3 linked regions of the Ovis aries genome follow. The protein of the gene in region 3 purifies or fractionates together with the protein of the main gene of each other region. This does not show direct contact. Links are inferred from orthologs where the notes say so. Each region holds a gene or a part of one and is shown on either strand. Other genes may lie near its edges.

Region 1 (3,993 bases), on a different chromosome or scaffold from region 3:
TTGGAAGAAAAGTTATGACCAACCTAGATAGCATATTCAAAAGCAGAGACATTACTTTGCCGACTAAGGTCCATCTAGTCAAGGCTATGGTTTTCCCAGTGGTCATGTATGGATGTGAGAGTTGGACTGTGAAGAAGGCTGAGCGCCGAAGAATTGATGCTTTTGAACTGTGGTGTTGGAGAAGACTCTTGAGAGTCCCTTGGACTGCAAGGAGATCCAACCAGTCCATTCTGAAGGAGATCAGCCCTGGGATTTCTTTGGAAGGAATGATGCTGAAGGTGAAACTCCAGTACTTTGGCCACCTCACGCGAAGAGTTGACTCATTGGAAAAGACTCTGATGCTGGGAGGGATTTGGGGGCAGGAGGAGAAGGGGATGACAGAGGATGAGATGGCTGGATGGCATCACGGACTCGATGGACATGAGTCTGAGTGAACTCCATGAGTTGGTGATGGGCAGGGAGGCCTGGCGTGCTGTGATTCATGGGGTCGCAAAGAGTCGGACACGACTGAGTGAACTGAACTGAACATCATTTTGTTAGCAAGTAATAAGTCATTAGCAAACAAAAAAGTAAATTGAGACATGCACATTAGAATGACGTATATAACACAACCACATTTAAGAATGTATCCAGTATCAAATGGCAGAGAACACTGCAAAACCACAGTTATTTCTGCACCAATCGAATTCTACCACCGCATCTACAAATTAGAGAATTCTTTTAAAAGATGGAGCAGAACTCTTATCTTTGGAAGAAAATGACTTAGATTATCTAACCTTTTCTAAGGCACCTCAGTATTTATCCTGCAAGGCTGTTGGATAAATTAAGAGTAACATACCAAGCCCAGTTGGTGCTGGGTAAATGAAACCAAGGTGTTCAGTCTGCATTACCTGTAATTGTTTTAATAGTAAAGATCTAGCAAGAAGAAAAACTACCAAAAAAGGCAAAAGAAAGTCGTGAATGCAGCAGTGTTGGTGGTTGTTTTAATATTGTTTATTAGCACAGTAACAAATGCAGACTTCAGTAGTCCACAACATAGAACCAATCCACTGAGCAACCCTACTCCACGCCGGACAGCTAACAGCTTAAGGTATTTTACTACAGGTTTTCAGAAGTCCTGATTCAAACCTCTCTCTCTCCACAATAAAGTAGATTGGCATATAAAATAAAATACATAACTACTCATTTTCTATATTGGTGTCTTATAGCCACGTGTCCATTTTATATATGAGATGACAGTCTCTAAAAGCTGTTAAATATCAATGTTCCCTTTCAAGCAGGGAAAACAATTTCCAATTTTTCAAGACAAAAAAGTGTGTAGTCTTGGAAGGACTTTACATAAATGTCCATGTGTAACCTGTACGAAATTAAGCTGTTTTAAATTTACAGTCTACAAGCGACTGTACCCAAATGCCTAGTCCTCTCTGTGCTGCACCTCAGCTAACACTGCAGAGCTAATGGCAGGTTTAGAAGTTGCTATTACCAATTCTGTCTACCGCAGCAAGATACCTTAAGTGACAACAAAATCTTAGGAAATAAGACTGAATAATATCTGTTATAGAAATACCCTACTCTTTACCAACTCCCACCCTCCCCCACCCCTTCAAAATCATAAGCAGCTCTCTCTGTGACAGACAATGCTGTGAAGGACTGTGGAGCCCAGTTTACGTGGCGTATCTCTTGGTCCACTGTCTGGCCATCCTGTCGTGCTCTGCCCTGTTGGTCATATACTGAGTGGCGATACTTCCCACCAAGGGGTCGGCTGGAAGAGAAGACCGCATGTTACTCTGAGGGAAGGAAAGGACGTTTCCGTCTTAGCCAGTAGGTCAGTGGCAGCCTGGGAGAATGTGGACAGGTGGCTGTCATCAAGCCCCTCCACCATTCCGGATGCCTCTCCTTCCAGACTCGCCCCTCCCCCCACTGCAGGGTTCGCCCCTCCATGGCAGGGTTCAGCAGGGTCCGGGAGGCTCGAGGCCCCGACCACCGTCAACACCCAGCTCCGTGCACAGGACCACCCTGTGCTCAGTGGCGCCCAGTCTTGACACTGAGCACAGCGAGGCCCTCGAGGCTCCTGCAGCATCAAACCATTGGCCTCTCCACTATACCCAGAAACGGCCAGAGCTGCCAGGTGGAAACCTGCACTTTCAGTTAAGCAATGCTTCTCTGAAACCTAAACAGAATCTTTAGTAATTCAATTTGTATTTGGCTTATCTAGAAAAAAATTTAGTAACAGGAAATGAAGGTTCAGAAAGCACCACAGTCTGGCCATCACTAAGTATACAGCAGGGAGCCACTGTTCGGTTAGGGGCAGCTGCACAGTGGGCCTGCAGGCAGTGGGCAGGTCAGAGGCAGACACAAGCGTGTCGTTTCAGGAGAACTGTGCGGGAAATATGCGAAGGCGGAACAGAAACACATGAAGGCGGGAATATGACTAAAGATGTGAACCCACGGCAATCTGACGGGAACTCTGCAGATTAAAACTCCTTATTCCCAGAGCACATCAGCTAATGGTGAGTCGGCTGTGTTTCTCAACTAGTAGACAACTGTTGACTAGAAATTCCTCTGAAAAACGATACGTTTTTCTCCTTTGAAAGCGTGTACAAAAATAAAATCTGACCTTTAGAAAATCTTAGTTTAAATGGAAAAAACCACTATTTCCCAGGTGAGGAGGAATAAACCAAGGTAAACAGCCATAAGCTTACCAGGATTACAGTCTGTGAGAAGTGAGCAGATAGAAAGAAGGACTTTAGAAATGGTTAGTGCTGGGCTCCAATTATCTTTCAAAATGTCCAAGCAAATAACTCCTTGACTGTTAATATTACAGTGATAGATTCTTGTCCGAAATGTAACCTAAAAAATAAGGTAGTGTTAAATGAAATTTAAACAGCAAACAATGAAACTTTTTACTATAAAACCTTTTCAATTAAATGGCTCTAATTAAACCTTTTAAAGAAATAGATATTGGTTAAAAAAAAAAAAAAGTAACAGCTTAACTTAACAAAGCCAGTAAGTGTTAAGAGACTAATAAAATTGAGATTAGAAAGTATTCACGGATGCAATCTCAGGCATTTTCAATCTCATTTAAAAAGTAATCACCAACAAAAAGCAAGGTAACTTCAATTTTTCCTTTTTTTCCTCTTGAACTATAGTTGATTTACAATTTGTGTTAATTTCTGCTTTTCAGCAGTGACTCAATTTTACACACACACACACAAACATATAAACAGTCTTTTTAAAAAAATATTCTTTTCCATTATGTTTTACCCCAGGAAGCTGGATATAGTTCCCTGTATGTTTCTTGAATTCATCTTTAGCAGTTTTAATGTAAATATTTTTGGATAACTACTCGTTTGCTGACCTCTTGTGTTAGCTGGTAGAACTACATGGTCTCAAAGCAAACTTCAGCACCTAATTCAAACGTCGTAGTGGGTATATGAGAGAAGGCAATGGCACCCCACTCCAGTACTCTTGCCTGGAAAATCCCATGGACGGAGGAGCCTGGTGGGCTATAGTCCCTGGGGTCGCGACTGAGCGACTTCACTTTCACTTTTCACTTTCATGCATTGGAGAAGGAAACAGCAACCCACTCCAGTGTTCTTGCCTGGAGAATCCCAGGGACAGGGGAGCCTGGTGGGCTGCCCTCTATGGGGTCGCACAGAGTCGGACACGACAGAGGCGACTTAGCAGCAGCAGCAGTGGGTACATGAAGACAAGCTGCTTAGCAAACACCGATCACAGCCCCAAAAGGCTGAAAAGTAGATCCGCAGATGCGGCCTGTTTCTGCTCATTCTGACCTTTACATCAGATCCTGCAGCTGCCTTGCCGGCCTACATCACAGAATCCACTTTAACAGTTTCCGGGGGTGGAGCCAGAAACGCCCAAGGGCCACAGCAGCAAGACAGAGCAGCGTCAGCCGCTCGAGCCTGGGCTGTTTTCTCTCGACTCTAGTTTTCACTGTGAAATACGCCGCATCATCCACAGTGAGCATAACCT
Region 2 (5,021 bases), on a different chromosome or scaffold from region 3:
GGGAAAAAGTATTTATTTTGGCTTGATGAAAACACTAACGTGGTATACTCAAAGCAAAGTATTTGGGTTTAGGTAGATTATACAAAAGGGAAATGATGTAGCCTCAGTTACTTGCATTGATGTGGTATAATTTGCTCAGGTGCCAGCAAAACAGAAAATGGTCTGATCTCTACTTTTAAGTGGCTGCTTCTTTCTTGTGTCATCCTGGCTCACCTCCTCATCCCCATTGCCACCTCTCACACACACGTTTGCTGTCTGTTGTTTTTGCTCAGATGTTCAGAAACATATTTAATAGTGTTTGTAAATGTAGATTCAGAGTAATGATAACTAATTCTTCTCACTAAAATCCACAACCACCTATGACCACAGCCAAAAGTGGTAGCTGAGATTTCTTTTGGTATTTGTTTTATGAACACTTGATTAAGAAAGATAATAGGGTTTAAACATGTTTGCCTTTCTAACAATTTCAAACTAAGCATTTTCATTTTAGCTTATATTACTAACATATTTAAAATTTATAATTATAATGTAACAATAGTCTGTATACTTTAGACAAAAATCCTACATAATGTGAATACTTTCTCAGCTTTTATTCTGTGTATCTGTTTTCAAGCTTTTGTTATATGCATATTTTTATATCATTGTAAATGTTGGTTAATTTTGAAATTAGATATTTTTCATAATTTGTTGGAATAACATGCAAATGAAGGGTATATCTTTTTATGAATACTTAGTTTAGGAGGTCACCTAGCACTAATAAGAATCAAAAAATGACTATTTTCTGGAGTCACTAATTTTTGAAGTAGTCATACTAAGGTGGCAATTTTAAGTACTGGTGTATTATTGGTAGTAAGAAATAGTTTTTATCTTTAATGTTAAGTAAAGCTCACAGTTGTTTTGTGCATGACAGCAGCTATACAGAATCCTTCTAGGTCTGTAAATATTAGATTTGACTGTGTTGCTAGGAAACCCAAAATAAAAAGAAATTTAAGTAAGCAGGAAGCATTATGAAAACTAAATTTTGTTTTTATAAACAGTGCAGCTTTGGGTTATGCTCTGTGATTAAAAGGTTGGTGTAAACTATTTCATATGTACATTAAAGAAAAAAGAAACTTCTTACAACGTAGTGATCGTTTCCTGTTTCATTTTTAATTTTCTTCTCGTGTAAAGAGCTTTCACTAGGAGTTGCTTGAAATCTCTGGGAAGGTCTGTTCTGAATTTACTACTTCTGGATTGGTTAAAATCCCTTTTAAGTGTGTGCTTTGTTCTTTGAAAGCTTTGGTCAGTTGAGCAACTTGCTGCTCGTGGTTTTTTTTTTTTAAAAAAAAAGAGCTGAGTAATGCTGGAGCTTTCTCATGTGGCTGATGCAAACCTGGAGAATTTGCATCATCATCTAGCTGGAGTAAGTTGGTGTGACAGGCAGGCGCTTAAATACCAGCCCATGAGGAAGCTGATCTGGTCTGTAGTGATAGGGCGGCAGCAGCAGCCGCAGCAGCAGAGGTAGTCGGGGAGGTGAACGAACCAGAGCACCATGAACGAACACACAGGTGTTTCTGAGGTGTAATTAGATCGCGGAAGGTGAAAAGACACCTTAGCTCTTTTACCTGCGAGCACAATATCACTGAGGACGAATCTGAAAGCAAAAAGGAAAGAGATCAGATCGGTCAGTCACCCCAAGAGACACCACAGTTGAAAGTTTGGAATTAAAAGCAATTTTTTTTTTCCATTTCCTTTTACCCCACTGCGGGTCACTACCATGGTTAGAAAGCCTGTGGTGTCCACCATCTCCAATGGGGCTTACCTGCAGGGCAGTGTTAATGGGAGGCTGCCTGCCCCGGGCGGCAAGGAGCCACCTGGGCAGGAGAAAGTTGTGCTGAAGAAGAAAATCACTCTGTTGAGAGGAATCTCCATCATCATTGGCACCATCATCGGAGCAGGAATCTTCATCTCTCCTAAGGGCGTGCTCCAGAACACAGGCAGCGTGGGCTTGTCCCTGGTGGTCTGGTCGGTCTGTGGGGTTCTGTCACTGTTTGGTGAGTGTTCCTGCTTCTCTGGGGGTGTGTCTGTGGGGTTGAGCACTGTGCTGTCTGGGAGAGCAGAGGGAGATTTCAAAGGAGTGAATGAATGGCAAAGGCTACCCCAGATTTTCTGATTTTTAGGGGAGGTATGCAAACTATCTAAGCACACTGTCCACTGTTGGCAGAATGCTGAGTTCCCTGAAATTGCATCCTAAGTCTATGCTCTCTTTTCCTGACCAAGGCGCTCTGTGTTCTGACTTTTCGCTTTGGCATTGAATGTTGATGCTAACTTTGATGACCCAGTAAAATACAGGTGAACTTTCTGTACCCGGCACTTGTGCTCAGTGAAGGTATGTTTGGGGTGTCTTGGCAGCTGGCAAGCTGAATGAAACACCTGTGAAGTGAAACCCAGTGTGGCCTGTTTAGACACAGAACTGAGTGCTCAGCAGAAGTTTTACTGACTTTTTATTGGCAAAACAAATGGATGGCAGTCTTTTCCCTTTTAATTTTTTTAACTTCATGAGCTTGTCAGTTCCTAGTCTTCTTTCAAAAGTCCTTGAACGTGGATCGAAGTGTGATGGCACATAATTCAGCTCCTTTTGTAACGGATTATTGCAAGGGTGTGAGCATTTTTCACATTTTTTTGTACTTTTCATCTCTCCCCAGTACCCATAACTGTTTGCAATAGAAATTGTAGAATTGGAATTGGGTATTATTGCTGTTTGCCCAGCTCTGTTTTCTTCGTTTACAGTTCACTTGGTCTTTGGAGACACAGGTTATTGGTCCACCTATCTGCAGAGTTAGTCTCAAGAGAATTGGTAAAACTGGTGGAAGAAATGTGATTATTAACTTTTTTTCAAAACCTAGATCTCTTTTATTGACGTGATAATTAATAATAAAGAGGTAATAAATGTCCCCTCATGAGGTGGGCATATGACTGGAATGCTTCTTGGGTTAGCTGTAAAGGTGTTAAAAACTGGTGAATGGTCAAGAAAATTAAATTGTATTTATACTATGGGGCAAATGTCTAAGATATATTTGCTCTTCTCTGGCAGATAGTGCTTTTTTATTCCAAAAGATACTGCTCTTTAAAGGTTTTAACTCTTTGTCCTAACTCTCTAGGACCAAGTACTACTAACTCTTGGTCCTACATGGACTAACCTGTTTATTCTGAAGGTCTTGGCAATGTTTTCATGCATTGGTTTGAACATTTATCTAGAGAACTCAAATTTTCATGATTAGGAAGAAAGTATTTTAAACAAAACTTGTTGAAATAAAAACTTAATATAGAAATATCAACAGAGGAATTATATTTAGGTGTTTACAAAGGGTTTATGGTATTCATATTTTGTGGCATATACATTTATAGACAAAGAGAAACCTAATTATTGATCTTCTTAAATGATTTTGTGTGCCCTCAGCCTTTAATCTTCTCCAACACTTGGTATATTCAGAATAAATCATTGTCTAATAGGAGAAACCATAGCCAGGTTCCTGGATTTTGTATCCTGTGTGCATGCAGCTCCCACTATGTGATTCCATTTTTGTATACTATAAAAGGCTCTTCAGATATGATAAAATGGGTGGCTCTGAGCATTAACTAGTTAAAGTGATGTTGACTTGTACTAAGAAAATATGCTTCTGCATAAGTGTGTCATCTCAAGTGATTAAAAATAAACTAATGAGACTAGCTAAGTTTACACTTGAGTTGGTATTCTTTGATTACTAATCACAGGGAATATGCTTCTATACTAATCTATTTATCGATGTTTGCATTACATTGGTCACTTGAGCTCCTAGGAACTTTTGACAGGAGTGCCTTCCTAACAGAAAGCAAAGCAAAATATAAGGGAAAAAATTCGTTGTCTTAAAACTCTGGAACTAAGAGTATAGAATGTGTATATTGTGTTTACAATTTTGTTTAAAGCCAGGTTTAATACATGGGTTCTTACATCCTATTTTGAACTGTTTTCATCTGACTAATATGGTTATGGAGCTTGAGACCTTCAAATGAAAATTTCACTTTCCCAGAACTCAATTTAAACCTGGGGCAACCATCCTGGAATTTAACCAAAGAATACACAAGTCTAGGTATTGAGTCTCTGGAGATAAATTCTGAGGTTCTTAAGACATTTTCCAATAACATTTAATATTGGATGATTTTTTGTACACTCTACCAACATGGCAACTGGTTTCCAATAGAGAATGAACTGCAGGTAGTTATAGTTAGTTTTAAATGGCCAAACTGTATCGGTGATTCCCAACTATCCATCTGTAGACTAAGTTACTTTAGAATTAGCTGTGCTAATTTTAAAATTATAGATTTTCTTTGATGCCTCTGTCAAAGAGTCTGGCTTCTCTTGATCAAAGAGGAGGTCTGGGGGATGGCCTTAGTGCTTGTATTTTTTATTTTAATTAAAAAATTATTCCCAGGTGATTCTGATAGAGTTCTAGTTTGGAAATAGGATAAGCAACATTAAGATTTTGCTGAATATCCAAATTACGTTTATGTTGGACAGTTCTACCTGAAGCTCTATTGATTAGTAATAATTTCTCACGCTTTTAGTCTCCAGAGTAGCTCAGGCAGAAATTATGTCTTACATTTGAGTACTTAACAGTATGGGTAGAACTTTTCACACAATGTCAAGATATACTTTTCATTATATATACAATAACTTGCTCACAGTAGTAGGTGAAGCTGTATTTCATGAGGTGCTTTCTGTGTGTCAGGCCTGTTACTGTCCTTGGCATTCATTTTCATACTTATACACACAATCCCCTTATGAGGTGAGAATTAAAATCTTTATTTCTCAGAGGATGAAACTGAGGTTTGGAGAGATTACATAATCTGCTCAAGTCTTTGTGAATTTTATTGCTAAATGTTAAAAATTGGTTCATAATTAATTTTATCTCCATGTTCATAAATATGTTAAAGCATCTCTTTTTCAAAACTTTTATTTCAGTCACCCAGGAATGATACTCTGAAATACATCCATAAGAAAC
Region 3 (4,067 bases):
GTGAGCAAGGCGGGGGGGGGGGGGGGGGGGGCATCTGGGCGGAGCCGGGGGGCGGCCGGTGTGGCGGGAGCAGAGTGGATGGGAGACGCTGGGCTTGGAGCCGAGAAGGGATTCGGAGGGAGCCGCGTTTACTGGGTTTCTGTGGTTGCTGGTGCCATGGTGGGGAGAGACTGGGCAGTGAGTGAGGTGCGGGCAGGGAGACTGTGTGGAAGCCTTTGCGATGAAACCGGCTCTAGATGGAGCTGGACGGGGCAGCGGCACAGCCCACGTGAGGAGAGACGGACGCAGGCAGAGTGGCAGGGTCTGCCCTGGGTGGCTGGGGGCATTGAGGGCGGAGTCCGCACGGCTGGGAGGGTTGCAGCTGAAAGGTGGGGAGCTGAGGAAAGGCAGGAAAGGCCAGAGGTCAGAAGCCGCCTGTTGGCTGGGCAGTTCAGAGGTGGTGCAGCCCAGGCAGTTGAGTGGAGGGGGAAGACGTGGGTGGATGAAGAATTACGTTTAAATCCCAGGAGGTCAGGAGACAGCTGACGCCGGGCTGCCCCAGGCCTGAACAGCTTGTGCTGCTCACGCAGCAGGGGCTGTGGATGGTCCCTGGCGAGACTGTCTTCTGGCAGGGGACACATGGGTCTTAAAGGAGGGGTGTGTGGTTGGGTGGCAGCTGTGACCACTACAGGTAGGTGAGGAGGGGCAGCGGTGAGGGCATGGAGAGGGTGGGGGAGGAGCGAAGAAGGGGGTTTGCGTCACCACACCTGCGGTGCAGGGGGACGCTGCTCGGCAACGGTCTAGCGGGAGTGGGTTTGACCCTTGGACTTAGGAGGGCATCTGTGACCTTCACTAGAGAAGAAGCCGGCTGGGCTTGCGTTCCCAGCAGAAAAGAAATGGAGACAGTGGCACAGGCAGCTTCAGGAGCAGTGCTGCCCTGCGGGAGAGCAGAGAGGTGGGGAGGTGGCTGCGAGGGAATTCATGGGGAGCAGAGCATTTGTTTATAGGCGGTGGGGCCAGTGGGTCTGGAGAGAGAAGCTGATGCTGGGGAGCCGGGGGGGCAGACTTCAGGAACAGTGTCCTGAGTCCAAGGCAACATGGCTCTGGGAGCAGCCTCGGACCTTCCAGGGATGGAGAGTGAGGCCCCGGGGGGGTAGGGTGCCGTGGGGATGACAGCTTCTTAGTGGAAGTCCTCAGGAAGCACGGTCATCGGGAAGATGACTGGCTGGGGGCTTAACATATGGGGAGAAGGCATGAAATAGGCGTCAGGAGGAAGGGGAGGGTGCTCAGGCCCGGGGAGTGAGGCCAGGTTGCCGGACAGCACCAAGGGCCAGCCCCCGACTCCTGAGGGGAGATTGAACAGACAGGAGGAACTCCATTGAGCTGGGGAGGAAACTGGGAAAGAGTGAACCAGTACCCGTGAGCGGGCAGGGCAGGGATTAGATGGAGGTGAGGGGGGCTGTTTCCCACCCCAGGACTGTGCAGTGCAGTGGGGGCCCCCAGCGCGGCGCTGCGCCATGTACACTCACTTGTTTGCCCTGGATCTCTCAAGAGTTTGAAAGGCTATTCACTGGAAAAGCTGCTTCCGTCAAGGACCCATTCAGTTGCCTGGTTTTATGAAACAACAGCCCTTTAGGCCCAGCAGCATGGCATGCCTAGCGGCTGATGACCACTTTGGTTGGTGACCGATGCAACCAGTGTGTCTATAATTCATGTTCCTGAGGCTCTGGGGCTCCCAGCAGCGGGTTGCCAAATGACCCCCGTTATCAGAGTCAGCAGCCAAGGATGGCAGGAGGCTGTTGTGGTGACCTCTGTTGGGGGCATTTCCTGGGCCTGCCCTGGTTTCCGCCTGATGTTGATGGGCACGTGGTGGGGTGGGGGCTGCCTCTCCGCAGGACCTCCACAAAAAGTACTCATACATCCGCAAGACCAGGCCTGATGGAAACTGCTTCTATCGTGCTTTCGGATTCTCCCACTTGGAGGCGTTGCTGGACGACAGCAAGGAATTGCAGCGGTGAGGAGGCGCGGGGGAGGTTCCGTGAAGGGCGCGTGGGCTCCCTCCTCCCTGTTGGTGGCTGGGAGGTGCGGTTCCCCTTGAGGCCCAGTGATGGCCTGGGCCCTGCTGGGCCGGGTCTGCCGGCCTAGGAGCCCGTGGCGCCCTCTCCCCCACCCGTCCACAGGTTCAAGGCTGTGTCTGCCAAGAGCAAAGAGGACCTGGTGTCCCAGGGCTTCACTGAGTTCACAATTGAGGATTTCCACAACACGGTGAGGCCAGCTGCCCTGCCGCGGGGTCGGCCAGGGTGGCAGGTGGTGGCCTGGCAGTGGCAGGGATGACCTGTCTCCCCTGTCTCGCCCTGTGTCCCCCTCGGGTGCAGTTCATGGACCTGATCGAGCAGGTGGAGAAGCGGACCCCCGTGGCCGACCTGCTGGCCTCTTTCAACGACCAGAGCACCTCGGACTACCTGGTGGTCTACCTGCGGCTGCTCACCTCGGGCTACCTGCAGCGCGAGAGCAAGTTTTTCGAGCACTTCATCGAGGGCGGGCGGACCGTCAAGGAGTTCTGCCAGCAGGTGCTGCCCCTCCCCGCTCCTCAGCCGTGGGCCCCTTTTCCCTCGAGCCCCGGGGAGGGCCCAGGTGGTGGGGCCCCCGAGCGCCCCCTGAGCCGCGCTGTGCCGCAGGAGGTGGAGCCCATGTGCAAGGAGAGCGACCACATCCACATCATCGCGCTGGCCCAGGCGCTCAGCGTCTCCATCCAGGTGGAGTACATGGACCGCGGCGAGGGCGGCACCACCAACCCCCACGTCTTCCCCGAGGGCTCTGAGCCCAAGGTCTACCTGCTCTACCGGCCCGGACACTACGACATTCTCTACAAATAGGGCTGCCGGCCGCTGCCACACCGCCCGCCCCTCCGCCAGGCGCTAGACGTGTACAGAGGTTTTCTTGTGGTTGTAAATGGTCATACTTCACTCCCCCACCCCTTCCCTGTCACACGACCCCCCGTGTTTTATTAAAGGGGACGCTGGTGGTGAGCCGCGTGTGTGCGTGTCCCTGCTCGGCTGCTGCCCACCTGGCTGCTCTGTGTCTGGCTGCCCCCCTTCCCCTCAGGTGGGTTCCTCTCGGCCTTTCACCTGTCCACCCCCAAACCTCCCCGCCAGGAGAAGTTTTGAGGGGTCTGGGCCTCTCAGGGACCCTTCCTGGTTATGGGGGTTCTGCTTCCTTTCCTTCAGGCCGCCATCCCTTCCCTGTTTAGCTGGCCAGGGCTTTCCCTGGGGACCCAGGAGCACAGAAGCTTCTAGCTGCTCCCTCCTGGGCCCTGCCCCCACCCTGCTGTCCTGGCCGGAGCCCCCTCCCCCTGCCTTCGGTCAGGGCTCTGCGTGGTGGAGTCCTGGGTGGAGAGGGACCACGTGGTGCTGCAGCCTGGCTCAGGGCAGGCGGAGGTGCGGGGGGGCCCCAGGGCGCCCCAGCCAGTGCCAGCCAGGCGGGGGAGGGGCAGTCCCCCAGCCTGTGCGTGGTCCCGTCCCCAGGCCCAGCCTCCGGTGGAGCGGGGCGCTCCAGGCCCCCGTCCTCCCGCTCTGCTCCCCTCGGCCCCCTGCCTGTGCCTGCTTTGCACCCCACTGCTGCACTACCTTCCTTCCTGCCTTCACCCCGTTTCTCACCCCCGCCCCCTCCCCGGCACATGTCGGGTCTCAGCCCCCAGGCTGTGAGCTTCTTGGGGGCAGGCCCTCAATAAACGTGACGCGCTGCTGCCCACCTCTGCTGTCAACCTCGTGCCTCCCCCTGCCTGGTTCACCGAGAGCTCTCGCCAGCCCCTGATGCCAAAGCGGCTGTCCGCACCTGGGCTCCCTCCCTCACCCCCAGCAGAGCTGGGACAGTCGGAGCTGCAGCAGTAGTCTTTATTAGGCTCCTGACGGGGCAGGGGGTGTAGGGAAAGAATAGGGTGGCCCCGCCAGGCCCCACTGCAGGCTTCGGAGACTTAGAGCTGGGAGCGTGGTCCGGCAGGCCCAGGGGAGTCTGCAGGCAAAGACGAGAGGTCAGAGCAGTGGCCCATGGGCTGCCCCGGCCTCCCAGGCTGCCTCCCTGGCTTCCTT

The links.
Region 1: the proteins of OTUB1 (region 3) and UBE2E1 purify together in Homo sapiens (affinity purification with mass spectrometry; 4 studies listed by BioGRID and IntAct, with this or other methods). This does not show direct contact. The link is inferred for Ovis aries from reciprocal best matches to the Homo sapiens genes OTUB1 and UBE2E1.
Region 2: the proteins of OTUB1 (region 3) and SLC7A11 purify together in Homo sapiens (affinity purification with western blotting; 5 studies listed by BioGRID, with this or other methods). This does not show direct contact. The link is inferred for Ovis aries from reciprocal best matches to the Homo sapiens genes OTUB1 and SLC7A11.

What each region holds. Positions count from the first base shown.
Region 1 is NC_056079.1:41,403,013-41,407,005, forward strand, and holds the end of UBE2E1 (ubiquitin-conjugating enzyme E2 E1), read right to left. Parts: intron 2,851-3,993; coding exon 2,703-2,850; intron 1,763-2,702; coding exon 1,665-1,762; 3' UTR 972-1,664; downstream 1-971. UniProt on the Homo sapiens protein: Accepts ubiquitin from the E1 complex and catalyzes its covalent attachment to other proteins. Catalyzes the covalent attachment of ISG15 to other proteins. Mediates the selective degradation of short-lived and abnormal proteins.
Region 2 is NC_056070.1:19,470,681-19,475,701, forward strand, and holds the start of SLC7A11 (cystine/glutamate transporter), read left to right. Parts: upstream 1-1,456; 5' UTR 1,457-1,756; coding exon 1,757-2,033; intron 2,034-5,021. UniProt on the Homo sapiens protein: Heterodimer with SLC3A2, that functions as an antiporter by mediating the exchange of extracellular anionic L-cystine and intracellular L-glutamate across the cellular plasma membrane.
Region 3 is NC_056074.1:38,773,221-38,777,287, forward strand, and holds the end of OTUB1 (ubiquitin thioesterase OTUB1), read left to right. Parts: intron 1-1,874; coding exon 1,875-1,993; intron 1,994-2,159; coding exon 2,160-2,244; intron 2,245-2,354; coding exon 2,355-2,549; intron 2,550-2,657; coding exon 2,658-2,855; 3' UTR 2,856-3,008; downstream 3,009-4,067. UniProt on the Homo sapiens protein: Hydrolase that can specifically remove 'Lys-48'-linked conjugated ubiquitin from proteins and plays an important regulatory role at the level of protein turnover by preventing degradation.